4 linked regions of the Astyanax mexicanus genome follow. The protein of the gene in region 3 purifies or fractionates together with the protein of the main gene of each other region. This does not show direct contact. Links are inferred from orthologs where the notes say so. Each region holds a gene or a part of one and is shown on either strand. Other genes may lie near its edges.

Evidence for each region.
Region 1: the proteins of ezh2 (region 3) and pabpc4 purify together in Homo sapiens (affinity purification with mass spectrometry, with the first as the bait; 3 studies listed by BioGRID). This does not show direct contact. The link is inferred for Astyanax mexicanus from reciprocal best matches to the Homo sapiens genes EZH2 and PABPC4.
Region 2: the proteins of ezh2 (region 3) and smarca1 purify together in Homo sapiens (affinity purification with mass spectrometry, with the first as the bait; 3 studies listed by BioGRID). This does not show direct contact. The link is inferred for Astyanax mexicanus from reciprocal best matches to the Homo sapiens genes EZH2 and SMARCA1.
Region 4: the proteins of ezh2 (region 3) and constitutive coactivator of PPAR-gamma-like protein 1 purify together in Homo sapiens (affinity purification with mass spectrometry, with the first as the bait; 3 studies listed by BioGRID). This does not show direct contact. The link is inferred for Astyanax mexicanus from reciprocal best matches to the Homo sapiens genes EZH2 and FAM120A.

Annotation. Positions count from the first base shown.
Region 1 is NC_064421.1:41,826,650-41,834,549, reverse strand, and holds the start of pabpc4 (polyadenylate-binding protein 4), read left to right. Parts: upstream 1-4,759; 5' UTR 4,760-5,291; coding exon 5,292-5,487; intron 5,488-7,900. Other genes in the region: zpcx (zona pellucida protein C), read left to right, coding at 458-543, 634-722, 1,194-2,178, 2,770-2,791.
Region 2 is NC_064408.1:35,517,919-35,526,295, forward strand, and holds the start of smarca1 (probable global transcription activator SNF2L1), read right to left. Parts: upstream 3,142-8,377; 5' UTR 3,039-3,141; coding exon 2,982-3,038; intron 478-2,981; coding exon 397-477; intron 283-396; coding exon 116-282; intron 1-115. Other genes in the region: gab3 (GRB2-associated-binding protein 3), read left to right, coding at 6,328-6,411.
Region 3 is NC_064408.1:92,430,323-92,438,684, forward strand, and holds the start of ezh2 (histone-lysine N-methyltransferase EZH2), read left to right. Parts: upstream 1-5,118; 5' UTR 5,119-5,531; intron 5,532-8,362. UniProt on the Homo sapiens protein: Polycomb group (PcG) protein. Catalytic subunit of the PRC2/EED-EZH2 complex, which methylates 'Lys-9' (H3K9me) and 'Lys-27' (H3K27me) of histone H3, leading to transcriptional repression of the affected target gene.
Region 4 is NC_064431.1:32,840,495-32,848,635, reverse strand, and holds the start of constitutive coactivator of PPAR-gamma-like protein 1, read right to left. Parts: upstream 3,142-8,141; coding exon 2,668-3,141; intron 1-2,667. UniProt on the Homo sapiens protein: Component of the oxidative stress-induced survival signaling. May regulate the activation of SRC family protein kinases. May act as a scaffolding protein enabling SRC family protein kinases to phosphorylate and activate PI3-kinase.

The DNA of each region.
Region 1 (7,900 bases), on a different chromosome or scaffold from region 3:
TGGTAGGTACATGCCATGTATCTACTCAATTAGCATTTAGATGAGGCTGCCTTTTTTTTTTTTTTTTTTTTTAATATATATAATATAAAATTGCTTTTCTTTTAATTTATTTAGCTAACTGGTCCTTGTGTAGACTGTCTACTGCTATAAACCCTCATTCGATTTACTTTGACTAAATACGTCAGCAAGTATCAGTTTTTTCCTTGGTCAAATCAAGGAATCAGCCAATTTTTCTTAAAAAAAAAAAAAAAGCAATTCTCGCCCAATACTGAGAAATTTGATGCCGTTGTGTGTCCCTATTAAACCCTTTCAAAAAAAGATTTACTTTTTGAAAATGGAAACCACTACTAAGTCACTTTAGTTACACAAGAATTGAGATGCTGACCTACATAATTTAAAAAAAAAATTGTTTATTTTGACTGTTCGAGCTAATCTTGTCTTGTGCTGTAATCTGTAGATTTATGTTCACTGTGTTGTGGCCCTCTCTGATCATGGACTGACTCCAGACACCAAGTCCTGCAACTACGTAACTGACAAATTCAGGTATGTGTAAACTTTTTAACTTCATGTAGGCCATATCTGTGTTCTGTGACTAATGCAGAAGCATAATGACAAACTTGTTTGCTGTTTCAGGTGGGTGGAGTTGGGTGGCCGGACTGACGTATGTGAATGCTGTGCAACAAAATGCAGATACCCCTCTGAATATCCGGCTTCTTTTGGTGGTCAGTATTTATTGGTTGCGCCAGTCGGCTAATACTCATGCACTAATCCCAGAATACTCCAGTTAAGAGTTTACGTGCACCAAGAAATGTCCATTCCATTTTTAATCCAATCTACTTATGTTTACATCACTACTTCAATCATCAAAAAACTGCAGTAATTTGGTAAGGATGAGGGTCATACTGCATCTCATGCATCAGTTTCAAATATTTGATGCCACATATTGATGTATTGCAATATTGATTATTTTGTCCCATCCCTATTGCGTTGTTACGTAGTGATCATTCTCTTAGCCAATTGTCTCTTTGCAATATTTGTTTTAATCCACACTGTATGCTTGAAACTACAAATAAGTAAATTATCAACTTTAAACTACTGTAGTTGCCATGCAGTTGTGGATCTGACCCCTCCATTGTTGTAGTCCTTTGTAACAGGACTGAGCATGTTATTTAAAGCAATGTTCTTGTTTTCAGAGTTCAAAGCAGTGGTGAGCACTGGTCCACTATCAATCAAGGAACAGGAACTTGAGAAGCAGCCGCTGACTGGCAGAACTCCCACCATTTCCAATAGAAGACCCTGGATCTTGTCTGGTGCGTCTCCATCAGGAGCATTGACCTCTTCAACTGGAAAGGGTTGGATTGTCTCTGGAGCATCTGTGTCTGGCAGCCCTAAGGTCAACCGCTCCCCCTGGCAGACATCACCTGTAACTGCAGATTTGGCTGTAGGCCGAGGCCTAGGAGATGCTTTGTCACTCTTGCTACCAGGGCTTATGATGGGTGTTCAGTCTAGCCCAGTCATTGAGATAGAAATTGGCTATCCTCAGAGGAAGGGTAGAGCTGATCTTCTATCCGGTCAAAGCAGCGTTCCAGCTGATGTGTTTTGGAGGAAACCAGAAGCCAAATTTGAAGCAAGTCTGCAGAGAGAAGATCCACAGCAGGTGTTTCCAGCAGTTAAACCTGCATATCAAGAACTTTTGGGCATGGCTGATGGGTATCCTCTGGCTGATGCCCCACATTTACCGAGTGGTGGACACTATGCAGAAGCTCCTCAGCCACCTTTGGAGAGCCTTCCTGACAAGCCTGAGGAGGAACTGAGGGGTGATGTGTTCACAAATTTTAGAGAGCCACAGCTGGAGAAGGTTTCCTCAGGCGAGAACTCTGTTGCTTCTATGTATGATGTGCAAAAAAGTGATGTTCCAGAACTGATTGAAGACCACGATGAAGGTGATGTTCTGGTTGTCTCTCACACAGAACTCTTGTTTAAAAAGGCTAATGCAGATGTACTGGATAAGCCTGAGTTTCTGAAGAAGTCAGAGTTGACTTTTAAGGGAGTTTCTGATGAATCAAGCTCACTTGACTATGCAGAAGAGCAGGGGACGCCTGGTTTGGATGATCGGGAGGAGTCGGCAAAACTGAGTGCTAAGAAAGAACTGGTGTCCTCCCTGATGGCGCTAATGAGGTAATGACGTTTTGCTGTACATTAAACTTTCATTTTGGTAGTTTTCTGCCCAAACCTTTGTTTGTGCACTGTACTGGGGCTGATGTAATTGTTGACCAGATTTATAGTTAACATGGGAGCCAGAGCCAAACCAAAATTCTGTATTTTAAGCACAATTGTACAAGAAGGGTATCTTGCTGAAAAAAGTCTTAAAGTGCTTTACTGAGCTAAACTTTAAACTTAAAATATCTCGGAATAAATGAATTAAAATCTAAATTTAAAGTGTAAGTGTTTTTTAAGGGCTTCACATTGAACTGCGTATGGCTCAATGCCTTATGGACTATCCTCTATTGCAGTTACATACCCCTCAGATGCTTAACACCTGTAGTGTGGTCCTCTAATTTTAGTTGACCATGTGCTACTATGCTGGTATGTCTTGGAGTAACTACACTAATACAGTTTAGATTTTTTGTTTTTTTTTTGTACATCAATGGCTAAAATAAGGTCTGAATGGCAAAAAAAAAACTACCGTTTCCAACTGTCAATAATATTGGTTACATTTGGTTCTTGTCCTGTTTACACACTGACCTTTCCTTTTCTCTGTGCTTGCAGGAAGCTGAATAAGATGTTGTGACCTGACTGAAGTACTGCTGTACAACCATGAAAGCTTAAACTGTGTAAATAAAATGCAAATTTGCAAACTCATTATGTTGATTCCTTTACTTCTGATGAAAGACTTTGTTCATTTTGTGACCTGAAGTTGAACAAGGTGTCCAAAAGAAGTGTTTAAATAGCTTATTGCGATATTTCTAAGAACACCATTGTAATTGGTAAACATGAAGACATTCATTCGTTCGTTGCTTAATTGGTTTTAAACCCTGCCCACTAGATAGCAGTGTTGCACTATTTAGATCCCGTCAGGGTGTGAATATTATACAATGATGCAATCTAGACCTCTACCCATTGCATTTAAAGGCGTAGACTATCCAAAAATCTAAATGTCAGATTTGTTCCCTTAAATTATTCATTTTACAAAAACAATTTTTATAAGTTAACATATTGATTTGATGCATGAATATTTGACAAGGTATCTGCAGCACCTCAGTGATTAACTAATTTATCTAGAAATGATGCCTTTCTTTGTAACTTTTGATGTAAATGTTTTTGTGCATTGTATTTGTACTAAGTTATAGTTAGTATAAAGATGGCATATCTGATGTGGAGAGAGGGAATGGGCAGCTTGAGGAGATGAAGGATAGAGCAGCAGGTAGACTGAGGAAAAGAGGTGTGAGCCAAAGACTGATGCTGAATGCACTGCAGAACGACAGACTGCGTTGTGGAGGAGCTTTGGGCCAAACTGGACTCTCAGAAGCTCCTGGATGCTGACCGAAAAGTAGCATAAGCTGGAAAGAATGGAGAAGGAAAAGAACCCTGACCTGGAGAAGGAGGAGGAAGGGCAGCAGAAAGTGGTGTCATACACACACTATCTATACACACAGATTGTTTTTGTTGGTTGTGTCCAGTGCCACAAATGACTAGACTCATGTTCCTGTCTTTTTTCATATATACTGTAAATATACTGTATTACTGGCCCTTACCACTGCCTGTGGCCCATGTGTCCTGACCATAGACTGTGTATAAAAAAGACCTGACAAACTGCAGCAACCCCACATGATTAGCCTAGATCAATTCAAGTGGTGATTTTTTTTTTCTTGGCCAGACAGAGTATAAAATACTAGGGCAGAGATTTGAACAAAACATACTCTAAAGTGCTCCATCAAAAGGTCTCTGTGTGCTCAGGACTATTTTTTTTCTTATTTTCTTTTCATTATTACTTCTTTTTTTTTCAGGACAACCTATTTATTTATTTTTTATTAGATTGGAAACTTTACCACCTGCTCTGTGAAGCATTTAGTTGCTTTCATCAGGGTCGCTGTTAATTTGCAGTTTCTGAGGCTGGTAATTCTGATTAATTTATCCCATACAACAGTGGTCACTCTTGCTCTTTCTTTCCTGGGGCGCTCTGATGAGTGACTGCACTTGAGGATGCTTTCAAAAAGATATTACATTTTTGGGATTGACTGACCTTTATTTCTTAAATCATTTTTTCTTTACTAAGTAAAGTAGTTATTGCCATCATATGGATTATAGCATTACTCAAATAGGGCTATTCAGTGAGAGCATCAGAGAAAACTTTTCACTGAATACCAACTCTACCTCTTCACAACTTTACTGATGCTCTCAAAGAGGCAAGAAATTCAAGTAATTAACTAAATCATTTAAAAATAAAAAATATTTTTTAAATCTTTATGTACTTATTACAAAAAGCAGTAGAAAGTTCTCAGAGTGTAATATGATGAATTTGTCAACAGAAAAGACACGACTAATTTATATACTGTATTACTGTCCACCTTCTCCGCTGCCTGCGGACCATGTGACCTGAGAGCTCAGATATCTGCCTGCAGGGGGCGCTGTTGTGCAGGCGGCTGAGGGAACAGAACAGCTGTCACAGATCGCAGCGTCCCTCTCCCTTTAACAGCGCATTCTTGGTGTGTGTGTGTGTGTGTGTGTGACCGCTCCTTGCTGCACTTATAAAGCTCCCATGCGTTTCCCACGCGCTCTCTTTCCCCGGCCACCCAACCGTGAGTGTGTAACTCACTCCTCTTTAGTTACCTTAAAAAAATAAAAAACATATAAAAATTACAAAATACAGAAAATCTTCATAAAAAAACCAACACCTCGCGGACTAAACCAAAAAAAAAAAGGAAAAAACAACAACACATTTTTATTTTTTAATTTTTACCAAGCGTTTTATTTTCTCTCTCAAAGTCAGAACAGGCCTCTGCGCGCTCCGGGACTAATTATTCTAAGTTTTTTTATTATTATTATTATTATTATTATTATTTTTATTTTTTTGGTTTTTATTTTTTTTCAGGACCACCTATAATTTTTTTTATTAGCTCGGAAACTTTACCACAGGTAACAGCAGCGGAGCCGGGCTAAACAGCTCTATCCCTCTCTCTCTCCCTCTGCTACACGCACACACTCACTAACACACACACACACACACTCAGCCCGGACCCTCGCGCTCCTCCGCCGCTCCGTTTTCAGCCGGACACCGAGGACCTCGCGCTATGAACGCGGCCGCCGCGGGGAGCTACCCGATGGCCTCGCTGTACGTGGGAGACCTCCACCCGGACATCACGGAGGCCATGCTGTACGAGAAGTTCAGTCCGGCCGGCCCCGTGCTCTCCATCCGCGTGTGCAGGGACATGATCACGCGCCGCTCGCTCGGCTACGCCTACGTCAACTTCCAGCAGCCGGCGGACGGTATGTACGGACACGCTGCAGGCTGAAGTGTGTGTCGGTTGTGTGTGTGTGTGTGTGTGTGTGTGTGTGTGTGTGTGTGTTCCGTTTGTGCGGTTGTGATGGTTGGGAGCACATGTGTGTGTGTGTGTATGTGTGTGTGTTCAGCTGTTTGAGGTGGGTGGGGGATATGGAGCTCTGATTGTGTGTGGTGGACATTCAGCAGACTGCTTCTGTAGTGGAGCACGTGTGTGTGTAGCAGTAACTGTAGGTGTATGGCAAGCCAAATGGGTCAGAATTCGCCTGGGTCTGACGGCGCTTAAAGCGTGCGAAATACTTAAAAAACGCCGTCCAAAACGCCGTGCAGGGCTTACTTTTACGCCTTGGAACAAACGCGAGGCGCCGCCAGGCGTTTAAGAGCGTGTGGCGGCGCCAGGCGCTTACATAACGCCACCACGCGTTTTCATAACGCCTCCAGGCGTTCCATATGCAAAAACGGACAGAATATACATATCCCCTCCTTCTCCAAGCAGTTCAGCCCTCTGACTCTGTCAGGGAACTATATCTCCTGTTAAAATAAAAGCCCCCAAGTGCTTCAAATGTCTGCTGTGTTATTAGATGTGCTAGATTCATGTATTTCTGGCTAAACTGGGCTTTGCAAAATGTAGTCCCTGATTAAAACATAACAAAATGTAATCAAATGTACTTATTTTTTATCAACTCTTTCATTGCTGGCCTATTTAGTAATCATGTTTAATTTGTCTGATGCTGCAAGACCTGAGCCAGCCAACACACACACACACACACACACACACACACACACACACACACACACACACACACACACACACACACACACACACACACACACACACACACACACACTCTCTCTCTCTCTCGAAGGCATTGGGGATTTTAATAAAACGCGCAATACAGAGACCACCACAGCATATAAATGGAGAAATTAGGAAATCAACCGGACACACAAAATCCAGCAACACATTTAGCAGATCTGTGTAGAGATTCTATACGTTTTAGGGTCACTCTTAAAAAAATAAAAACTGTTCACTATGAGATCGTAATATTCCGAATCATTCAGTATTCAAGGTATTCCTTAATTAAATTGTTTTTGATCATGGTACATCCTTATATTATTTTTTGCTTTCTTACTTTTTAAATAAAAGCCCTTTTTGTATCGCTGCCGCTCAAACGGGCAGCGTGGGTCTAAAATAAGCCACATTCATTTTCTATGCTACTTCAAGTATGGCTGTGTGGTTCTATGATATATTTTAGCAACGCATTAATTCCGTCGTTCAGAATTTAATTGACGAATTTATGAATGAGTGTTTCTTTTGCACAAATCTTCATTTTCATTCTCCTTACACAGGTTTACACACACGGGTCAGACACAACGCACATGAATTTACCATTTCACAGCTCAGCACAGCTCCCTCAGTACTGTTTTACGATAACATCACCTTAGAAAATATTTGATGCCACTAGTGAAAGATAACTGTATATAATATTTGATTAGGATTAGGTTACCATTAGAGTGAGAATATTACCTGTCAGAAAGTTACAAGTACGTATTATTAGATGTTGACATATTCTATTTTAGTTAGGTTAATATACTGTAGTACTTTGTTAGGCCATTTAGCTACAGGGTGTGTTTATAATAATGTTCTTGGTGACAGTAACTAAAATATTTTATTAATTTAAAGAATAAACATTTTTAATAAAATAAATAGTACAGTCTAATATAGGATAATGATAATAATAATAATAATAATAATAATATTGACATTATTTTGACATATTCTATTTTAGTTAGCATTCTGAATATTTTGTAGATTTTTTTAAAACTGCACACACACACACACACACTTTTATTATTACTATTATTATTATTAATATAATTTTATTCCCGATGGGCCGGGGCGAGTTTGGGCCGGTTGGACGGAAAAAATTATTTACCCTCACTTCTCTAATCTTATTCTTGCATTCATTGCCATTCAACTACGTATGCACTCTCTATTCGTCTGACAACACAGCCCCTACGTCGGGTTTAACCATCTGAGGGAATTCTCCTCTCCCAAATGTTTGAGTTGGTTGCGTCCACGAGTGGTCTTTTCTGAAGCGATCAAATTAAATGCAGCAACAGAATAGCACAAAGCGTCAGACGACTGTGATGGAGGGTAAAAAGAGGCCAGGTGGAGCCGAAAAGGCCATATTAAAAAAAGAAAGAAGATGGAAGAAGAAGCAGCCAAATGTGCAAAATTAACAAACTTGTTTTCCAGAAGACAGACTTCAGCTGCAGCCGGTAAACAGAGATATGGAAATAATCTTGAATCGTCAGCTATTGGGCAACGTTTGCAATGTCGATTTAGCGTAGTTTATTTTGTAGAGCCCAATACACATCATTAACCTCTTAACACGC
Region 2 (8,377 bases), about 57 Mb from region 3:
TTCTAAACCTTTGAATGATTGTTTGAAATTTTTTTGTAGCATGAGAAACTGAAAGTCTGATTCAGATCCTAAGAATTTGCATATGTGTGTGTGTTTGTGTATGTGTTGGACTCACTCTCCAACAGACAGCAGGTTCTGTTTCTCATCCTGTTTGGTGCGGGGTCTCCCCATCCGCACCTTCAGGGGCGATGTGGGGGATTTCTGACTCGCTGGCTGGACGAAGTGAGCAAAGAGTTCAGTCTGTTTCAGCAGGAACTCAAACCTGTTAGCCCTGTCTGCTTTCTACAGAGAAAGAGAGAGAGAGAAACAGAGAAGGAGATAAGGTAAAGTGTTTTCATTCACACAGAATTGACAGTGATTCCTAGCAGTATTATAACACTCGTAATTAACACTCACTCTTTTTTCTTCATATTCAGGGTCCACTGTGCCTTCTTTTATTGCTGCTTTTGGAGGGGGGCCCAGCAGGAACGGAGGATCCTTCACACATACACAAACACAAGTCACATAAACCGTCCAATTTTATACAGGACCAGACCAAGGACATGCCACTGCTCATTTAATGTTTTTTTTCTTTTATTTATACAGACAGAAGTTTTCCTGCTGTGCTTTAGGCATGTAGCACCTCCACCGGTGTCTTGTTTACTAACTGCAGGGTCATCAGCTGGGGACCACCGCTCATAGATGTTTTGCTCCTTAACCCAGAACACCTCCTGGTGGTGGCGCAGTGAACAGGGACGTTTTATTATTTTCTACATTGTAGATTAATAGTGAAGACGTTAAAACTATGAAGAAACTCATATGAAATTATAAAATAAAGTGTGTTAAACAGGCCAAAATATGTTTTTTTCTTCAGTGTAACATCTTTTGCTTTGATGCCAACTTTGCTTACTCATTATTCTCTCATTCACTTCATTAAGGTAGAACTAGGAATGGTTATTAAACTGTCTTAAAATAATAATAGTAATAATAATAATAATAATAATAATAACAATAATAATAATAATCATTATTATTATTATTGCTCTCATAGTAGTACAGTACTAAAAGCAAAACTAATACTATGCAACATTGTGATTTTTTCACTGCCCATGCCATAGAAAATTGTCATCTTAAACTAATAATGAGACCGGATGCAAGTGCAGGCAGAGCTTATACCACACACAATCCAAAAGACAGATAAGGGTCAAATCACGGGCAAACAGGGTTATCAGAGGACGATGTTGAGACGTAGTAAAAAATCAAAGCTTAAGGTCAGAATACCAGATACAGAATAGACATAAAACACTCAGAGCTAAGAGTTCAAATAAAATACTCTTAACTGGGGCTCCTTTATAGAGCCTGTTAATAGAGTTCAGTTGAGCAGGGTGGGGTCGATGATCAAAACTCAGGTGACGCCAAGCGCTGTTAGGGTGGAGAGGGTGGACTAATACTGTTCAAGTGAAAAATTATTATTACTATTATTATTACTAATATTCTCAATATTTATAGTAGTACAATGGTATTAGAAACATTAATATTATGCAATATTGTGGTAATTTTACTGTTTGTGCAGTAGAAAATATTGTAATACTAATACAAGCGTATGTTTTATAAACATACTACTGCTACTAATACTACCAATACTACTACTAATATTTTTTGGATTGATTTATTTGTACACTTCACTTTAAAGCAAGGTTTTCCCAATACATTTAGAGTATTCCCCCAGTAAAACATTTCTCTGGAAAATCCCTTTAAAATGACAAGAATAGACTAATAAAATAAATGAAATGTGTCCAGAAAGAACCATAAAACAGATTATACAGCTCTAAAAAAAATTAAGAGACCACTTCAGTTTCTGAATCCGTTGTTCTATTATAAAAACTACGGACAACATTTCTCCCAAATGCCAAATAAATTATTGTTATTTACAGCATTTATTTGAAGAAAATGAGAAATGGCTGAAATAACAACAGCGAAGCAGAGCTTTCAGACCTCAAATAATGCAAAGAAAACAAGTTCATATTCATAGAGTTCAGAAATCAATATTTGGTGGAATAACCCTGTTTTTAATAACAGTTTTCATGCATCTTGGCATGTTCTCCTCCACAAGTCTTACACACTGCTTTTGGATAACTTTATGCTACTCCTGGTGCAAAAATTCAAGCAGTTCAGCTTAGTTTAATGGCTTGTGATCATCTATCTTCCTCTTGATTATATTCCAGATGTTTGAAGTTTGGTCAAATCAAGAAACTCATAATTTTTAAATGGTCTCTTATTTTTTTCCAGAGCTGCATTTTTTAAAAAAATGTACAGTTATAATATAACGTTACACCTTTAAATCCCAGAATTACTACAGGCAACTTTTGATATAATATATAATCATGAATAATGATATAAGTAGTGGAGCATATAGCTAACGTTATATATCATTTTTATTGATTACTGTAATTACAGTGTTACTCATGTGGAAATTAGGTGTCAGGTTTAAATTCAGCTAATTAAAGTACCAATATCAGACTGACCTCCTGAAAGAAACCAGAATCACACAAACTAAATTACCAAGAACGAAGGAGCTATTTAATGTGATAAATCTGGGCCTGGGAGTCTCACCCAGCAGCAGCACGACAGACAGAGACAGAGTTAGGAAAGCTGGAGACAGATGTTGTTATATAAATCTGCGTGTTTTGGTTTAGTTTATAGTTTGTGTTGGGAAATGTTTAATTGGTGTATTTCAGCGCTGAGTCTCCAGCGAAATTCGCCATTTCTGTGCTGTAGAAAACTTGTGCTTGCTGTGGAGGCTGAAGTTGGCTCCATATTGGCATGTTCCGTTCCACCTTAAAAACTACTGTACTGGGCCAGCGCGCTCAGAACAGGCGCCAAAGCCTAACCGCCGCCCAGTTTAAGGTGGAGCGGAAAATTCGAATATGGAGCTGGAGAAAAATAACACAACTTCAGCTCTGTGACTTCTTGTTGTTTCTGCGGTTAAATGTCCGATTTACCTTCTCCTTCCCGGGCCCGGGCTCCCCAGAGGTTGACGGCACCTCTTCATCAGACATGTTTAGCCTCTCATGAGCCGCTCAGCGAGTTTCACACAGAAAAACACAGCTCGCAGCCGCAGCTTCAGACATGGCAGGCATACGCCCCCTTCAGCGGGAAATATCGCGATGGTAGAGCCCCGAAGTACCGCGAGATTTTGAAATGCATTGATGTAAACAAACCCTCAAGTCTGATTTACTCTCGTTAACCCCTTAACATGCCGGCGTTTTTGTCAAATTTCTGCCTGATATTACACAGCTATATCTTCACTCTTAAACGTGATTTTGTGTTTTAGTCAGGAGAAGAAATATAATCCAGTTAAGTGAACTTACCGGCCAGGACAACTCAATAAAATGAGTTCAGAGAACTTCAATCTGAAAACTTAAAAATGTTTGTTGAGCCAATGAACAAACGTGATTTCAACCAACTTCTGGTATACTATACGTGTCAATGCTCTTTTATCAGCGTTTATATATGTTTAGGAAAGGGACAAGGTTTGCTGCCTCTGATTAGCCATAGGCTCATGAAAATTCATGAGCTATAAAATGAAGTATATTCTGAGAAGTGTTTTTGATAAAGGTGATTTACAGGGGAAAAAAACAATAAAATAATTTTGACTAGTGGAACAAAACATGTTAAAAACGGCTTTTTACCCAATTGTTTCACAGTCAGTGACATAGAATGCAGTCTGGAGTAGTGAAAAGGAAATGTGGGGAAACCTCCACAAAATATTACATACTACAATGAAGTCTGTAGGGATTTTATCCACAAAAAAGAGCCGATAAACACAAATTGCAATGTTGATCAAAGTAAAAATGCATACCACAAAATATTTAAATATGTACATGGAGTTTTTTCCCTAACATATGAACCTAAGCCCCACTGAGAGAAAAAAGTGATGAAAAGTAATATAATTTCCAAAGAAATCTCAAGAAACATCCAGGATTTGATGTGGTTTATTACTGTAGGACACGGGGTAACCAAACATTTCTTAATTAAAAGGAATATATATAAATGTGGACACAAGTGGACCATATATAAATAATAATAATAATAATAATAATAATAATAATAATAATTATAATAATAATAACCAACTTATAATAGCTGAGTTTAGTCTAATGTCATTGGCAGCTTATTTTCCATTGGCCTCTGTCACAATCTATTTGCATACTTGGTATAAATGATAACTTGACTGAGTTAAGTTGAATGAACTTAACATGTTATGTATTTACAACTTAACTGAGCCAAAGCAAAATGATAACTTTTGAAGTTAAGCCAATGAATTTTTTTTAGCAGTATTAAGGATTTCCCTTTGAGCATTACATATAAAATTTTCATGTTTGATAAAAAACATTATTAAAAATATTAGCTGTAAAAGTAATTGAAAAGATTTTAAATTATTTGTCAAGTGAATATAAGAATTATGAATGAAAATCACAAAATTGGCACCTTCCTGAACTTTTAACATTTTTAAATAAATATTTCCCTAAATATGAATTAATCATTTCATGTCCTCCAAACATTTCATTTTGTTACAATTGTCTTCTTTTTATGTCTATTTCAAACATGCAGAATTTGGGGTTGATTCCTCTCAAAACTGATATTATTATTATAAATAATTATAATTATTATCTTAATCATTATAAATTATCAAGAGTACAGAGTGAACATGCAGCTTCTCCAAGTGGTCTGTGGGAGAATCCCTACAAAGCTCACAAAGTTTTAGAATATAAATAACTCATTTTACTGCAGAAATAAAGGGTTTTGTATCTACACTTGTATATTACCAGCTTTTTTTCTTTACATTAAGAACTAGGTAAGACTCAAATTAATTTAGAGACTAAACTATTACAAAGTACAAATGAGATGTTGTTTTGCAATATTTAAATAATTGAACAGATAACTTCATTATCACAGTTTGAATGTATTCCTCTGTTTTACCTTTTTATTACTGTGTTGTAAATAGCTTTGGCGACTAGAGGGCGACAAAACCAGCTAATTCTCGAGTTTGAATGCTTATTGTTATTTCTAAACTGTCACTGGCTTTAAATGAGCTAGTGGGGGTATTTAATTTATTTTTCGATGTAATTAACATTTGTTAAAGACTTTCAAATTATTATTATTATTATTATTATTATTATTATTATTATTATTATTATTATTATTATATATATTTTTAGTAGTAGTAGTAGCATTGGTTGTATTACTTGTAGTAATGGTAGTTGTATATTTATTGGTATATTTTATCATTAGTGTAGTAGTCTAGTTGAATGTAATTATTCATACTAATAGTAGCTCTAGTACTAGTAGTAAGAGTAATAGTGTAATAATAATATGATTATTCTTAACATAAGCTGCAGTAGTAAAATAGTCGCAATAGAAGTGCTAGGGGTATAGCACTATTTAATGCTTAATGGTTGTAGCAATAATGGTAGTACTATTACACTAGTAGTAGTAGTAGAATAGTATTTTTAAAACGAGTACTAGTACAATTGTATTATTATTATTATTATTAGTAGTAGTAGTAGTAGTATTAGTAGTAGTAGTAGTAGTAGTTACAGTAGTAGTAGTATAATAGTATTTTACAACTATTATTATTAGTAGTACTAGTACAATTGTACTATTATTATTATTATTATTATTAGTAGTAGTAGTAGTAGTAGAATAGTATTAGTAGTAGAAGTATTAATACAATTGTTACTTATGGTAGTAGCACTACACTAGCTGTAGTAGTAATAGTAGTATGACATATGTCATATAAAGCACAGTTCCCATCTCCTTCTCTGAGTAACAGATGGCCCAGTAAACCATTAAAAGTGGCTTCGCAGCATTTTCCAGACAGACACACACATATACACTCACACACACACACAGGGTCATGTGCTACTGTGTCACACTAATAGGAGGGTCATCTCTTCCCAACCAACCACCCACCCACACACACATACACACACACAAAGAAGGAAAAAAGAACATACACACACACTCAACACTGCATGCAAATACGTACATGTCCTCTCTATCTCTCTTTCCAATTCATTTACAAGAAAGCTTAGAAAAACACACACACACACTCTCTCCCACTCCTCTGGCTCTTCTGGAGAACTATATCTATCTTTCTTTGCCTCATCCCTTTCCCCTCCCCTCTCTCTCTCTCTCTCTCTCTCTCTCTCTCTCTGATCAGTGCTAGCTAGTTAGTTCCTCATCTAGACGCTGGAGGCTTCACACAGGATTTGCTCTGTGTTCAGTCTACACACACACACACACACACACACACACACAGAGAGAACACATACACAGAGACACATGGACACAGACATGAGCTCAGGGGACGTGGTGTGTACCGGATGGCTCGTCAAATCCCCGCCAGAGAAAAAGCTCAAGAGATACGTGAGTAAAAAAACTGTTGTGTTTAGTGTGTGTGTGTGTGTGTGTGTGTGTATGTGTGTGTGTGGTATGTGGGTGTTCCTGTAGATACATTCACTGTGTTAAGACAGATAAAGGCTTAATACCAACCACGCCGATGCATCACTCACTGACACGCTGAAGAAAAACCCTGTGCCCTGGTACCCTGAGTTTACTGGGTTTAGTGTGTGTATGGGTGTGCGCGTGCGTGCGCGCGCGAGTATGAGGCTAGCAGGTGCTGCAGTGCTGTATCAAACCATCATCAGCAGCTCACTGGCCTCTAAAAACACACCCGTCATGCCTTGCTTTTGATAGTTCAACTGTGTATGTGTGTGTGTTTGTGAATTCTGGATGCCCTAAAACTGTAACTAGCTAATTTATGTATTAATTATACTAATCAGTACTGACAAGCCTTCATTTATCCTATATTCAGTTCATCACATCACAGTCTCACACCACCTAAATCATTGTTGCCCTGCTGTGTTGTGGGTAAACATGTGCCTTAACCCTCTATGGCATAGTGTTGCCCTCAGACAACAAATCCAAATGGTTGGGTATTACCCCATACCTTAATTATATTTAAAAATATATAATGTTAAAAGGCATATCTACTTCAAATGCAATGAGTTGTACAATTGGTTCATAAATACAAATATGTATATGTGCAAGAATGTGTAAAAACATTTGGCTTCTTATATTCTTATTATATTTACTTACTAAAACAGTGTTTTTTTCATCTGTTGTCTTTGGGCAACATTATGCAGGTAGACCACTCCTAAAACATCTGATTAAAATAATCAGTTTCTTATCAAAAAAAAAAAATAGATTTGATAGAGGGACTAAAATGGTACTCCCATTTTAGTATGGATGTAGTCAGTTTTCCAAAACATGTGTGGTTTCTTTTTCCCTGAGGCTAATCCTGCTAACAAGTAATGGAAGATTCTCTGATTATACCCCACCAATTAGCTTTGTGCTAACTATAGCTACATGCCTAAAAAATCACACACTCTACTACCTAGACTGTGTGGAGTGGTTCAATCATCTCTCACATTCTGTGTGTGTGTGTCTGTGTTTCTCACACTGTATTCTGATAGCTATCTAGTTACCTTATCTAGCACTACATGGACAGGTAACTTGTCTTGTTTCCATTGTCCTGATCCTTTTGCTTGATAAAAGTGTTTGAAAAAAAAATAGAAATGTACAAATATGGGCTAAACTATCACAACATACTCCTACAACACACAACATTCTCCTAAATAGAACTACAAACTACTAAGTACAAGCTACATTTAACAGCATTTCATATCATTTTCAGGAATGTTCTTCAGTATTACATTGAATATTGAGCTCAGATGTTGTTTTCTGGTTTTGAATTGGTCTGTGAAGTATGCATTAGCGTGAAGTACTCCGCCGAAGCGTCTTCCTGGTCTTGTGATGTATTCATGAGCTGTTTTGGAATGAAATAGTGTTGGTGGTTCTAAGTATGTTGTAGGTGTTGCCCAACCAACAGCATGACAATCATAACAATATGTGACAGCAAAACAGGTCTGGAGTGTGTGTGTAGTCACTATGGTTGGACACACACGGCAAAGAACATGATTTGCAAACGAAATAATCTAGGTAATAATTTATGATGTAAAAATATTAGTAGATAATTTAACTTGTGTTTCATTTTTAGCTGGTTTCAAGCAAGTTAATTAGTAAATAAAAGTCTGCTTTTAAGACATGAACATTATTGTACTTCTTTCAAGATGACAATGACCGTGTTATACAGTTCTACAGTGAAATAATTACATCTAAGCAACAAAACATTGTATCATCATATTTATATAAATGTTTATGATACACAGTATTTAGAGAAGTTTTGAAATGCAGAGAACAGGCTTTAACTTTAGCTCTAGTTACTCCATAAGCAGTGGCAGGTTCTTAAAACTGCTATTTAACTACTTTC
Region 3 (8,362 bases):
TTTTTAAATAAAAGTGTAAATTGGAAAAATGTTTGTTTCCTACTCTCGGTTCAATTATATTGTTTTACTTAGAAATAGAAATAAGCCGTAAGACTTATCGTTCTGGTTCATGTGGTGGAAACCTTATCTTCAGGGATTAGCATCAAACAATATGTTATTTTAACCTTTTATTAATTTGACTGATCAAAACCAGGAAAATTTGGTTTCCCTCCAATATCCTGTCCATGTATAGTAATAGTTATTGTTATTTATGGTCTCAGATATAGTTGATCAGCCCATATGGGTTTGGTATTTGATGTGAGCTTCCTTATAAAAGGCCAATATTGTTAAAGGTTTTGTATAGAATGGCACTAATCACACTTCAGTCTTACTGTGCATCAACAATTATACCACAGTTCTATTATTGCTGTTTATTGAAATGTTTTGAGTTAAAGAGGATGAGAAAATATGTTACATGGAGACCCTCGGTCACATTGCATTACAGACTAAAAACTGCACTCATAGAACGCCTCTCAGCCAATCCCATTGCAGGGTCAGAACTAACTGGTTTAATAGTTACTAATAATTGTCATGCCAAACATTTTGGTAAATATACATTGGAAAATATTGTTTGCTATACAAACCCTTTAAAAGCTATGCAAGTAAGCTACCAAAGGTATTTTGTAGGTTAATAAAATGATTTACCAAAAAAAAAGCACTAATAGACCAAGTAAATGTTTAAACTGGAACAGTTATTCAATGGCTGTCTGTCTCAGCTGTTCAGCTCACCAGAGAACTTAATTTTGTAAAGTAAGTCATAGCCTGTTCAAACCACATCAGTTTGTCTTCATCAAATAAATAAAGCTGTGGATGTGTTTTTTAAATAGGGTAAGAATGAGCATCTACCCTTTATGAGCATATAAACAGCTTCACCGTGCTGGTTGACCAGCATCACCAAGCATTACTAAAATAAAATGCAACATACACTATGCTGTTCAAGAGCAGGTTAACCAGCTAGCTCGCCACATAGTGCATGTTTTCACCTTGGTGATCTGCTTTTCAACCACATTGACCATTGAGGGAGAGATTAGACCTTCTGAAACCAGCTACCACCACAAGCTGGATTTTTCAACTGGGTATAATTTATGGGAAAAGTGGACTTTTAATTAGTAACAAAAGCTTTAGTGTATTAAGGGTGGGGACTCTATGTACAGGCCACTTCATAAGTGCAAAATTAGACTCCTGTTTTGCACTTCTTCTAACTGATAATATTATTGGAAATACCTACATAGTACTACTTTAATAGATACAGTGATGTTTCTGTAAGGTTGATATTTGGTCCCACACATAATTTCCAGTACTATACAGAGAAGCGGCTTTCTGGAAAGAGACCAACCATTGATGAAGGACTAGAGGACAGCTAACTTCCAACTGCATAAATCGATGGGCTACAGTCTGCAAGGGAGTGTAATGGCCATGTACGTCAACACATGCCAATTTATTGGTCTAAGCTCTACATGGTCAAAATACGGCCATTCAGGCAAAACATACCCTATACTAATAAGCATGCTGGTTTACCAGAATAGCAATTTGAACTAAATCTTCCACAATAGGTGTCTATAGAATAGAATACAACCCCTGGCAAAAAGTATGGAATCACCAGTCTTGGATGAGCACTCCTTCAGACATTTCATTCTGTAAAACAAACTCTGATCAAAAACATGATACAATAATAAGGTCATTCCAAAGTGCAACTTGTTGGCTTTCAGTAACACTCAAAGAAATGAAGAAAAAACATTGTGGAAGTCAGTGAATGTTACTTTTATTGACCAACCACAGGGAAAAAAATATGGAATCACTCAATTCTGAGGAAAAAAGTATGGAATCACTCAAATTGAAGGTAGAAAATAAGGACACACCCAGTCAATTTCCTTTCCCTAAATGGACACCTGCCTCAGATTAGATCTGCTCGTTAGTCTGCAGTTAAAAACACCTGCAGTCATGACACCTTGGAGGGCTGCTGGACGAATTAGAGTGGCAAGAACCATGGCTCCAACAAGAGAAATGTCTCTTGAAACAAAAGAGAGGATTGTGAAACTTCTTGAAGAAGGTAACTCTTCACGCATGGTTGCTAAAGATGTGGGCTGTTCACAGTCAGCTGTATCCAAGATATGGACCAAATACAAACAGCATGGAATGGTTGTTAAAGCCAAGCGTACTGGTAGACCGAGAAAGACATCAAAGCGTCAAGACAAGCAACTTAAGGCCATTTGTCTTGAAAACCGAAAAAGTACAACTAAACAGATGAAGCATAAATGGGAAGAAGCTGGAGCCAATGTATGTGACCGAACCGTAAGAAATCGCCTAAAGGAAATGGGATTTCAATACAGGAAAGCTAAAAGAAAACCATCATTGACACCTAAACATAAAAGAACAAGACTGCAGTGGGCTAAGGAGAGGCAATCATGGACTGTGGATGACTGGATGAAAGTTATCTTCAGTGATGAGTCAAGAATCTGCATTGGACAAGGTGATGATGTTGGAACTTTTGTTTGGTGCCGTTCCAGTGAGCTTTATGAAGAGGCCTGCCTGAAGAAAACAACCAAATTTCCACAGTCCTTGATGATATGGGGCTGCATATCAGGCAAAGGCACTGGGGAGATGACTGTGGTTAATTCTTCTATCAATGCACAAGTTTACATTGACATTTTGGACAGTTTTCTCATCCCTTCAATTGAACAGATGTTTGGAGATAATGAAATAATTTTCCAAGATGACAATGCATCGTGCCATAGGGCAAAAACAGTGAAGGCATTCCTTGGAGAAAGACACATTCAGTCGATGTCATGGCCTGCAAATAGTCCAGATCTCAACCCAATTGAAAACCTGTGGTGGAAATTGAAAAAAATGGTCCACAAGAAGGCTCCGACCTGCAAAGCTGATCTGGCAACTGCTATCAAAGAGAGTTGGCACCAAATTGATGCAGAATACTGTTTGTCACTCATCAAGTCCATGCCTCAGAGACTGAAAGCCGTTATAAAAGCCAAAGGTGGTGCAACTAAATACTAGTGATGTATTTTGAATCATCTTTTGTTTATCTGTTTTTCATGATTCCATACTTTTTTCCTCAGAGTTGAGTGATTCCATATTTTTTTCCCTGTGGTTGGTCAATAAAAGTAACATTCACTGACTTCCACAATGTTTTTTCTTCATTTCTTTGAGTGTTCCTGAAAGCCAACAAGTTGCACTTTGGAATGACCTTATTATTGTATCATGTTTTTGATCAGAGTTCGTTTTACAGAATGAAATGTCTGAAGGAGTGCTCATCCAAGACTGGTGATTCCATACTTTTTGCCAGGGGTTGTAGAATAGAATTCTGTAAAAGAACTTGCTTAGGTTGTACAATTTTTAATAAAGGGATTATTGTGCTGTATATTTTACTAAATACAGAAGATTGTATAATTTGTGCAACTGCATATGAGATTACTGGTCTTTGTAAAGTAAATCCACAGCTAACCAGTGAATTTAGAATATACATATAAATTACCACCACGTGCTTTCGCAGGTTTGATGTGGAAGTTTTGAAAGCTGACAGCTCGGTCAGGCGGGACAGGCACATTTTGCATTGCATGTGGACGTCATTGCCTCGTTATTCCACGCACGAGCATACGCGCCAATGTTTTTTTTTAATTCAGGCGATTGTTTTTTTTTCCCAGCATTTTATTTTTACTCAGTAACGGGGAGTTTCCCACTATAGCAAAGTAAATTACTTGTGTCAAAATGAACTTAAGTAAAAGTAAAATTACCTATTTTAAAAACTACTTTAAAAATGACAAATTACTCATAAAATCTACTCAATTACAGTAACGTGAGTAAATGTAATTTGTTACTTTCCACCTCTGGTCATGTGACATCACGTTCAGTAGCTCCTCCATTTCCACTCGCTGTTGTGTTTATGTGGTTCTCTGTGGAAACGCACACCCAAAGGCATAGCAGGACCAAGGAGTTCAGCAGAAAACACTAGGTAATTCAGCCTGTAATTTTCTTATAGGACGTCTGAGAAAAACACATACATGGTACCCCAGGACCCCCTGAGAAACTAATCCTTTTAAGATATGGCTCTAGTGAATGAACCCCCCCCCCCCCCCCCTATCCCCCAAGCGGTAGAAAAGGGCTTCCATTCTCAGCTATGTTGATTACACTTATAAAAGCTGTATTTAAATATTTATTACAGATTTATTGACTTGTTGCTCTTAAATGATTTGACTACATCTCTGATTAACCATATAGTTTTTTAAATATACCTTAAGCAATTAAATTTGAACTGGATCTTCCACAATTAAGCCAAAAACACACTAAAAGGGGAGAGGAAAGGCTGCAGTTGGCCAGGACTCGTAATTGTGGGTTACCACAGTGGGGAATAACGGTTCTGTGGGGAGAAGGCTGGATGGTTTTCCCTCCTAAACAAAGCTGATAATCCCCATAAAATGGCTTTATGGAACTCTGACGTATCACAACGTATCAGGTGGGCGTGGCTTGGCGAACCGGCTGACCCAAGTTCAGTGGGTCCAGTAGAAATATTTGGGGATAAAAAAAATTGACCTTGTGTTTATATTGATACTATACAAACAACAGAAGTGCAGACTTAAGTTTAGAATCACAATAAAGCTGAAGCACCAACTAACATAACCTACATGCTTATCTGTTTAAAAAAGAGAGAAAAAAACAGTGTATGCACGGCAAAGGCAACGTGCATAATTATATATAAAACTAATATACTATCGTTTCTATTCTATAGTATAATGAAATACTATAATCATTATAATAATGCACTATAATTTGTGGATGATATAAGCGATATATCGGCATTACAGTAATCATGCGCTGCGACAGGCAGCTCCAGGCCCCTCGTGCTGCAGGTGGAGGATGAGAAGAACAGATCTGAAGCAGATCTCTCGCTTTGAAGCTGTAAAAAGTGAGTGTTTGTTAAAAATGAAGAACAAAGAGAGTTTCTCCACATGTTCCCCACTTCGGGCCCCGCCGCACAACCGCTTGCTATTGGACGCGGCGCGCGTTCGTGCTGGCCAATGAGCGCCCGCGTCTGTGGGGAGCTTGAGTGCGGCTGCCCGCGATTGGCTGCGGGGTTTGGCGGTCGGCGGTTGTGCAGTAGGCGGAGAGAGGAGCGCGGAGAGCGGGCAGAGTTAGAGCGGGAATACCGGCGATTATTGAACACAAAGCGGAGCTGGGTGAAGCAGAGAGCGGCTCCAACCGCGAGTCTTAGGTGTGAGGAGATCAGACTGGAGCGGAGGAGGCGGGAAGAAGCGACCAGGCTCTGTTTGAAGCCCGAGTTCGTTCACCGGTGTCGGAAAAAGGAGAGAAAGAAAGAAAGAAAGCGCCTCCCTCCCTCTGTTCAGTGAGAGCTGTTAGCGGGGTTAGCACTAGCCTTAGCTTAGCTTTAGCTTTTCTCTGCTCTGCTCCAGGCTGCTCCGCTTTTCTGACCGAAAACAAACAGAGAAAAATCACTGTGTTTAATGTGGACTGGACTCCTGCAGGTAGGTCATCACAACACACAGCACCGGTCACTAAACACGCTGTTCTCGAGCTGTCTGTGGGCTGTGTGGAGGCTAAGCTAACGACAAGTGTTGAAGAGGAGCTGGTGAAGAACTCTCTTATATACATACAGCTCTGGAAAAAAAATGAGACCACTTCAGTTTCTGAATCAGTTTCTCTGATTTTACTACTTATAGGTGTATGTTTGAGTAAAATGAGCATTGTTGTTTTATTCTATAATCTGATGTGAATTACTCCCAAATTCCACATAAAAAGATTGTCATTTAGAGCATTTATTAAAACTTTATGAATATGAACTTATCTTTGTATTATTTGAGGTCTGAAAGCTCTGTATCGTTTTTGTTATTTCAGCCATTTCTCATTTTCTGTAAGTAAAAGAGAGAAATCAATATTTGGTAGGATAACCCTGGTTTTCATTCACAGTTTTCATGCATCTTGGCTTGTTCTCCTCTACTACTTTATGCCACACCTGGTGCAAAAAGTCGAGCAGTTCAGCTTGTGATCATCCATCTTCTTCTTAATTATATTCCAGAGGTTTTCAATTTGGTACAATCAAAGAAACTAATAATTTTCAAGTGGTCTCTTATTTTTTTCCCCAGAGCTGTATATCCATAGTTAAGTTACTGAATTCACGTGTTTATATTTATAAAGTACGGTTATGATTCAGAGTAAATGATGCTTATTTAGCCCTGGTTAGCTTTATATATTATTATCTAGTGATCTAAACCTAGTTAGAAAATAAAACTGAAAGAAATGACACAGACAACTTGATTGATTTTTTTATTTTGGCTGGTTATTGATCCCTGTTTATAAGTGACAGCAGTCATCTCCACTGAGAGAGTTCTTCTATTCATATAGCAAGTAACATTTATTTATCGGACTGTGTAAAATATTGTGTTCATAAATACAATACAAAATATAGCTAGCTAACACTTGCTTCTCACTCTTGAAACACACATCATTAATTATGGACAAATAATACAAATCTAGGCTTCACATATGTTGCTGATAAAAAAAACAGATTTTATTTTCGGTTAATTCTAGCTAATGTTTTTATGATCTGTACAATTATTCATATATGCTGTTTCTTGATGAATATATTATTTTGCTATAAAAAAAAGTTTTAAAAGACTAGTTTTTATTCAAAGTAACACATGATGCCTTTGAAGTAAAAACAAGGAATAAATATAAACTTAATTCTGTCCAAAGGTTAAAGGCCACATTAGAATGTAAAGAAAATATGAGCCATGTGTTTATCTCAAGTATTGCTTACATCCCAGTTTTTAGTTATCAGAAAATTGCATGGATAGATCTTATGGAGAATATTAGTGTATTTATTTTGCTTTATTTGGGATGTATATTCATATACATGTCCTATAGCTAGGTTAAGTTTGTCCTTCTGTTTCTTACATTTTCCTTTCTCTAAGCTTTTAATGTAGCTAGCTAATTATGTATTGAGCATGTTTTGTTTTATGACTTAACTTACTGAATTCAGTGTTCATGGTTATATTTGCTGAGAAACAAAACAAAAAACTGTAAACTGACAGTGTATAAAGAAAGTGGTTTAAAAATAAGACTGACAGAATTGTCCAGACTGCAGCAGATGATTTGTCCTGTGTTTAGTTGTTTCTTTGGACAGTATACAGGACAACACGCAGAGCATCAGAACACAAATATATGAATCATTGATGAGCAGCTACGGTGTTTCTTGTTTTTTTATGATCTAGGTCTGTTTGTTTTGATAAATGAGAGCTGTTTTGTTCTTGTGTAATTTTCTTATTAATGATATTTAACATTTATTTGGTTTATTCTTAAGACCGCCATGTTGTTGTTTCTTTTGTAATGCTGTTAATGTTTTTTTTTGTTTTGTTTTTTTCCTCTTCTCTTTTTACTTGAATGCAGCAGAAGATGCAGGATAGGATATCAGAGGAGGGAAAATGAATTAATTTGATTTGATCTTGTGACAAATCGATCCTTAAAAAGCACACACTCACACTGTGTGATTTAATTATGTTAGCTTTGTGCCTCTTCCTGTGGGGTAATACAGTGTGTGAGTAGTTTTAGCAATACAGCCCACTTTTATCTTCTCTGGTGTTTCCGCTATGCATATTTGAACTGCTGATTTTAGTCTTAAAAGAACTGCAGAATGAGCTGTGATACAAACCAAAGGTCATGTTCACAGCAGACTGTTCCTCTTATTATTACTCATTTATCTTTATTTGTTCTTATTCAGTCTTTTCAACAACGTTTGTTCATCATATACAAGTGCAGTTACAGTGAATGTTAATTTAAGATTGTACACAGAGTAAGAAGCACTGCCAGTTCTGGCACCCAGCTCATCCTGTTTGTCTGACTCAGTGGTTTTTATTCAGCACTTATGTTAGACTTGCAGATGGCTATTTCTATTTTTGCTGCAACATTTTTCTCTGCTCGTACATGTTCAGATGGAAAGCCTGGACGAACTTGCCCACAAAGCTGTACTTGTGAATTTGTCAGTGTTACTTAACGCCTAGTCAGCGTCTGTCGCATCTACTTTCAACAGGGACAGAGTTGTTCAATATGGTAGATGAAGACATCTATACCAGCGCAGTTCAAGAACATGTGCTTTAGCTTAGTTCTTCATGACTAATTAAGCTTAGTTAGGTTTGGATTATAACTAGCAATTCTGGGCTTTTTTGGAGAGGTTTGGGGATGATTAAATGAGCACAGTGAGACAGGAGCACTGCTGGTTTTAACAATATTAACATTCAGTGTAATATTTAAGGCTTCACCTTAAAAACACACTTTGGTTGAATACTAAACAGGAACTTTC
Region 4 (8,141 bases), on a different chromosome or scaffold from region 3:
TACCCACCAAAAAAACTGCACTGTGTATCAAAACCTCTATAAACCTACTTCATGAAAAATCAACACAGCTCAAGTCTAAGCTGGTCTTTTAATGGTCAAAGTGCTGGTAATTCCCAATTTAACACACCTAATTCTGCACAATTTATTTATTTTCTAAACCATTTTAAACCATTGCTAGTGACTCTGTGTACATTATCTTAGTATATCTTGCTAAAATGCAATATTTAAGTCTAAAATCAGCCTTTTTGAGCATTTATGATCCATTGAAAATATTATATAAGGGATGACTCTAAACCTACGATTTATGAAAAATCAACACAGCTCAAGTCTAGGTAGGTTTAGAAGTTAAATTGTGCAAAATCAGGTGAGTTAAAGCAGGAATAACCGACACTTTCACCATCAAAAGAGCATCTTAGAATTATGGTCATCCCTTTTATAGATTTTCAATGAATCAAAAAGGCTCAGAAAATCTGTTTTGAGACTAAAATCATGAATGTTAGCTAGATATACTAGCTACAAGCATTGGCTAACCTAGTTAGTTACATATTTTAAAGGTTAATCATAAAAATCAACCCAGCTCAAGTCTAAGCTGGTCTTCTGATGGTTAAACTGTTGGTTATTCTGGCTTTAACACACCTGATTTTGCACAGTTTAACTTCTAAACCCACCATGATAGAGTAAAGAACATTGGTTAAACCTAGCTAGTGACTCTCTGCACATTATCTTAGTATATTTAGCTAAAATACAATATTTAAGTCTAAAATCAGCTTTTTGAGCCTTTATGACCCATTGAAAACCTTATATAAAGGATAACTCTAAATCTACATTATGAAAAATCAATCCAGTTCAAGCCTAGGCTTGTCTTTTAATGGTAAACAGAGTCTAGAACTAAAAGTGTGCAGATTCAGCTGTGTTCAAGCAGGAATAACAAACACTTGGACCATCAAAATACCATCTTAGACTTTTACCATAAAATAGGTTAAATTTTTTTTAGATTACTCATGAAAAATCAACCCAGCTCAAGCCTAAAATGGTATTTTGATGTATTTTTCATAAAGTATATTTATGGTAATCTCTTCTATAAGGGTTTAAATGAATCGTAAAGGCTCATAAAGGCTTATTTAAAACGTATCTAGCTACAACTAACAATTTAAGTCTCAAATCAGCCTTTATGATCCATTAAAATCTTTATATAAGGAATGACTGTAAATCTACATTATGAAAAATTAACACGGCTCAGGTTTCAGCTGGTATTTTGATGGTAAACAGACTAACTAGTTGGGTAAAATGCAACCAAAAATGGGATTAGAACTAAAACTGTCCAGATTTAGCTGTGTTAAAACAAAAAGATTTTGAATGGATAATAAAGGCTTATTTGAGAATTATCTAGCTAAACCTCACAATTTAAGTCTCAAATCAGCCTTTATGATTCATTGAAAATCTTATATAAGGGATGACTCTAATCCTACATTATGAAAAATATGTTTATTTAAGTGTTAGCTAGATATAATAAGCTAGAGACATTGGCTAACCTACATATTTTAGGGCTGATTATGGAAAATCAACACAGTTCTAAGATGATGTTTTGATGGATTTTTTATAAAGGATGTTTATAGTCATCTCTTATATAAAAGATTGTGAATGGATCATAAATGCTCATAAAGCCTGATTTGAAACTTATCTAACTAAAACTCACAATTTAAGTCTCAAATCAGCATTTATGAGCCTGGCTCTAAACCTACATTATGAAAAATCAACACAGCTATAGTCTAAGCTGGTGTTTTGATGTATTTATGGATTTTTCCAAAAAAAAGTATATTTTGTCATCTCTTATATAAGATTTTAAATGGACCAAAAAGGCTTTAAAAATTCTGATTTGAGACTAAAATTGTGAATGTTAGCTAGATACACCTAGTTACATATGTTAAGGCAGAATATAAAAAAATCAACACAGTTATAGTCTAGGCTGGTGTTTTGATGGATTTATGGATTTTTCATGAAGTATATTTAGAGTCATCTCTTATATAAGATTTTGAATGGATCATAAAGGCTTATTTGAGAATTATCTAGCTAAAACCTCACAATTTAAGTCTCAAACCAGCCTTTATAAGCCTTTATGATTCATTGAAAATCTTATATAAGGGATGACTCTAATCCTACATTATGAAAAATATGTTTATTTAAGTGTTAGCTAGATATAATAAGCTAGAGACATTGGCTAACCTACATATTTTAGGGCTGATTATGGAAAATCAACACAGTTCTAAGATGATGTTTTGATGGATTTTTTATAAAGGATGTTTATAGTCATCTCTTATATAAAAGATTGTGAATGGATCATAAATGCTCATAAAGCCTGATTTGAAACTTATCTAACTAAAACTCACAATTTAAGTCTCAAGTCAGCATTTATGAGCCTGGCTCTAAACCTACATTATGAAAAATCAACCCAGCTCAGGTATAAGGTGGTGTTTTAATGGATTTATGGATTTTTCCAAAAAAAGTATATTTTGTCATCTCTTACATAAGATTTTAAAAGGCTCAAAGTGCTTATTTAAGACTAAAATCTAAAGAAAGTTAAATTAAAAAGTGTTATTTAGATGTAAGTTAGTAAACACATAAACATCCTCCGGCGAGGCCGGGCTCCACAGCGGCTAGGCTACTCACTCCTATCCGGAATCTGAGCAGCGCCAGGCGGATGCAGTGGGCCATGCAGACCGGGGGCAGGAACCAGACCTTGGGCGGCGGGGTTCCGCGGTTCTGGACGTGGCTGATGATCTGCTGGGCGGTCTGCCGCTCGTTCACCTGCCGCTTGACCCACTCGTGCAGGCGGCCTTTCTCCAGGGCTCCGTTAAAGCAGACCAGCAGCTCGATGTTGCCGGTGAAGCAGGCTTTAGCCAGGGCGGCCAGGTAGCCCAGCATGTGGTTCCACTGCCCGCCGCTGACCCAGTCCGTGTAGAAGCCGCCGTACAGCCGGTGCAGGCAGTTCTCCGCGTCCACCAGCAGCCGGAGCGGCGACTGGGGCGGCCTCTGCCTGCCGCCGCCGACCAGACTCCCCCGGGCCAGCTTCTGCAGCTCCACCGGCACCACGGCGCTCGGGCAGTGCTTCTCGATGTACTCCTGGAAACCTTGGACCCCCATGATGATTCAGTGCGTTTTTAATAAAAAATAAAATCCTAAATAAAGCGAAATAAAGCTGAATAAACCGGATTAAAGGAGCAGAGAGGAGCTCCTGCTGCTGCTCCTCCTGCACCGGAGAAACAGACTGAGCCGAATATTGCTGGAGGAGATGAATCAGTGAATAAACAGCTGTTATTAGCTGTTTTTTGGTGAGTTATTGGTGTGTTTTCTCTTTTTTGGGGGGTTCATGGCCGCTGGCCGCCATGTGCAGTCCTATGGAGCCATGTCTGAGAGAGGGAGAGGGACAGGAGCACCGTGACGCATGAACGAGTCCAATCGGCTCCTGTGAATCGGTTCTTTTGAATCGGTTCTTCTGAATCGGCTCTTATGAGTCCATCCTTTCCTTCTCCTCCTCATTTTCTTCCTCTATTCTTCTTGTCTTTTCCTTCTTTCCTACTCCTCTTCTCCTTTTTTCTTTCTTACTCCTCCTCTCTTCCACCTTTCCGTCTCCTCCCCTCCTCCTTCTTCTTTGCTACTCTCCCTTTCCTCCTCCTCCTCCTCCTCCTCCTCCTCATGTTCTTCTCCTTTTACTTCTTCTCATCTCCTCCTTCTCCTTTCCTACTCTTCCTTTCCTTCTCCTCCTCTCCTCCTTTCCTTTTCTCCTCCTTTCCTCCTGCTTCTCCTTTTCTCCTCCTCACCTCCTCTTCCTTTCTTTCTTCTCCTCCTCCTTCCCAAATCCTTCTTTCCTCCTCCTTTCCTACTCCTCCTTTTCTCCTCTTCCTCTTCTCCTTCTTCTTTCCCTACTCCTTCTCCTTTCCTTCTCTCCTCCTCCCTTTCTCCCTTTCCTATTCTTCCTTCTTTACTTCTCCTCATCTCCTCCTTTCCTTCTCCTCCTCTCCTCCTCCTTTCATACTTTTCCTACTTCTTCTCTCCTCCTTTCCTAATCCTTTTTATCCTTTCTCCTTTCCTAGTTCTCCTCTTCCTTACCTTCTCTTTTTCTTCTCCTGTTTCTTTCCTTCTCGTCTTCTCCTCCCTTCCTACTCTTCTTCTCCTCCTCCTTTCCTACTTCTCTTCTCCTGCACCTCCAAACAGTCAGCAGATATATGGTCATCCTGTTAAATGTGGAACATATGTAAGTAATGATATATATGTTCTACAGTCACATAAGTGTTTTAATAAAGTTGAATTATTTCTACACATACACAAGTGTCAGGTGCTCAGGTGTTTTGTGGGCGTAGCCAGAGTGATGTAATGCCAACATCTTTAAAACATTTCCAGGATCTCTGGAAGCTTTTTAGAGGAGGATTCTTTCGTCTCCTCTGGTATTCAGACAGATGGCGAGATGCCGTATAATTTTTAACAATTTTACAGTATTTTCCAGTATAGATTTGTCTGTAAATTCAAATAAAATAATATATATAAATACGCAATTAAAGTATAAAGTAATGAAATAAAGGGGGGAAAAGCCTTCCCAAACATTGTTTCATCTGCATATATGCTTATTAAAATAATGTAAATATATTTAAGGTAACTTATTTCAAACATATGTCTCGAATCTCTACATGCATCATCTTCATACTAGGCTGGGAATTAAGAATCAGTAAATTGATTAAATCAGACATTCGGCTCATTAAAACATACAGTTCCAGAGAATCGATTCAGTAAAGTGAATCGAACGCTCCATTATTAGTGACGCAGGTTGTGAGGAGGAGCCCTGACCTGGTGCTTTAGCATCACATTAGTGGGATAAAAGTCTGTTAAAGGACCAGTCCAACCTTTATTCCAGTTTTCACGTCTTTTCAGTTTTATGTTTTGTGAAATGCAGCCAGCAAAATAAAGATATTGTGATGTAAAAGAGAAAAAATCCATACAAGACAGTATGGTTCAGCAAGGCTTACAGCACTTGTGAGCGCAGGGTGGATGAAACTAATGATGCCTTCAAGTCTTACTCAGAAATTCCTACTTACGAATTTGGGAGTCGTAATTACGAATTGACATGCATTCGAGTGTTTTTTCGTCTGGTAAAAATAGATGCTATTTGGAAAATCCTTTTGCTTATATTTTTGATCTATTATAATAAAAAACAGGAGGTTTACTTTGCACTACTCTGAGAGAATGAAGTGAATAAGACATGCATTAGTTGAGTAATGTTTTTTTAATAACATTAGAACCGTAAATCTTATTAGACTTTTATGTTTTTGCATGTATTGCTAGTGGTTTTATTAATTAACTAATAGTTAACTGCTACCAACCATGGCGCAAGTTATGATGGAGGATTTTGGGGGTCTTACCCCCCAATTAACCCTTTCATAACCTGCGTCCATTACAATGGACTGCATCTATTTTCATTTGTTCTTAAAATGTTCTGTGGTGCATAACACTCTTTAGCCCTATCTGGACGGGAATAGTCTCTCTGGGGGACGTCTGTGAAAAATATTGAAAAAATATATTTATACAGTGATAAAACTCCTGCATTTAGACTGTAATCGAAAAAACAAGAGGACCAGTAAGTTTTTAGGCTTTTTTTTCTCGGCACATGACATGAGTATTGTTCAGTAGCTCCTCCATTTCCGCTCACTGTTGTGTTTTTAATGTGGATCTCTGTGGAAACTGTGGCGTGCCGAAAGTGTAATTACGGTGCGCGGCAGTGGACAAATAGCTATTGTATTAAACGTGAGAAGACGAAACTCAGAGATGTGCGTCCGGACGGGACTAAAATTACCGGAGGAGCACGGAGTTCAGAGAAAAACAGTAGATAATTCAGCCTGTAATTTTCTCAGAGGACGTCTGAGAAAAACGTCCCAGATGAATAAACCCCCCATAAAAGAGAAAAATACCCCAGAACCTGCTGAGAAACAAATCTCTTTCGGATAGAGCTTTTGAGACATTTTGTCCATGGGAATAGACCATGAACCAGAAAATAAAAAAGTTTACAAGCCATTGGAACTGAAGTTTAGCCCTGCCCAATGCACTGGGGAAAAACAGCAGCTTTTAGAACACTTAAAAAAATACCTTCAGCAATAGCTTATGAAATAAAAAAGTCGATATCAAATATATATATATATATATATATTTTTTTTAAACAGACACTCCCAATGCAATGGGTATGTAAAAAGTAGTGGATTAATACAAAAATGACAAAATAATCATAGTAATAATAAAAAAAAGAATTAGGACCAAGCGGAAACGGCCTGTTTCCCTTTAGACCGCCCACGAGCCTTGTGATTGGCTCTGCCGTTTGTTGCTAACGTGTGATTGGCTGTTGCCGTTGTCCCTCCATCTGACCTGCACCTGGAGCTGCACACCTGTGTTTAGCTAATTACAGGAGCTCGTGTTCATCTGATACTGTAAGTTATGAGCACGCTGAGCGTTTGTTCTGCTTTATATCAGAGTTTTTTTCATGTTAATATTAGAATCTGTGTGTGTGTGTGTGTGTGTGTGTGTGTGTGTGTGTGTGTGTGTGTGTGTGTGTGTGTGTGTGTGTGTGGTAATTAGGCAATTAGGCGGGGGGGAGAGTAAACATAAGCGACTTCTTTAATTATTAGTCAAAATAATCCAGAATTTCTGCTTATTTGTACTCAAGATAGTGTATAATTTAATGTTAATGAGGTCTATTGATCATACATTCCAAACAAATAAGTGTAAATAGTGAGTTGGAGTGAATTCCACCTTAAATACCGCTAATTTATATACTATTCCGCTTTAAATGCTGCTGCTAATTGACCATTCCTCCTTAAATGCTGCTGCAAAGTTACAATTCCGCTTTACATACTGCTGCAAAGTTACTTTTGCATCTTATATACCGCTAATTTACTATTTCACCAAAAAATGCAGCTGAATTATATTCCGCCTTAAATACCGCTAATTTATATACTATTCCGCCTTAAATGCTTCTGCTAATTTACTATTCCACCTTAAATGCTGCTGCTAATTTACCATTCCGCCTTAAATGCTGCTGATAATTTACTATTGTGCCTTTAATGCTTCTGCTAAGTTACTATTCCACCTTAAATACTAGTAAATTACCCTTACATATTAAATACTGCTAATTTACTACTCCACCTTAAATACTGCTAATTGACCATTTCCCCTAATATTTTGCTAATTTACTATTGCACCTTATATACTGCTAATTTATTTACCATTCCACCTTTAATACTGCTGCTAATTTACTATTCCGCTTTAAATACTGTTAATTTATTATTCCACCTTAAATGCTGCTGTGGCGACACAGTCTTAAGGCCATACCTATGGAGGAACTGACCGTCTTCATCTTTTAAGGTGGAACGGAACAATGCTGTGTTTATACAGTGAGATTACAATGCCATCCATACACATACATTTAACCACATTTAAAAGCATCACACTGGTTTAAACACAGTTAATTACTAAAATACTTTGATATATAAATTAAATAAAAAATATACATTATATATTTTTTTAAATTCATATATGTTTATATAAAAATACAAACATTTTGACATATTTCTACAAATGTAGAATGTATATAAATGTGTTTATATTATAGAATAAACATTTTCTCTTACCAAATACATTAATTAATTAATTTATTTATTTTACTAACTGTTAATCCATTAGTATGATTTGTTCTTTAAATATTGACTTACACTACTGTACATTAAATAAATATTCACTTATTCGATTAAAAAAAAACTCAGCATCCTAAACAATCAATCAAACCACAACCAGTCTACTAAAGTAAGCTATGTTCATGCACTGACATCTTCTGCATCTACAAAAGCACAGGAAATCAATTAAATTCATAATATAATGTACCTTTTTTGATCATAATTGTAAGATTTAGTATATGTGTATTGGACAGTTCTTAAAGTAATCATAAATAATCAAAAAATACAGAACAAATCTTTTGATTTAAAGGTTTGACTGCTTTCCTGAACTCAACTTTTATTTAATTTACAGATTGAAAGAAGAGTATCCTCAGAAAGAAGAGGATAGAGATAGAGGTGAATGTCAGCAGGCAGGAGGAGATCTGGAGGACA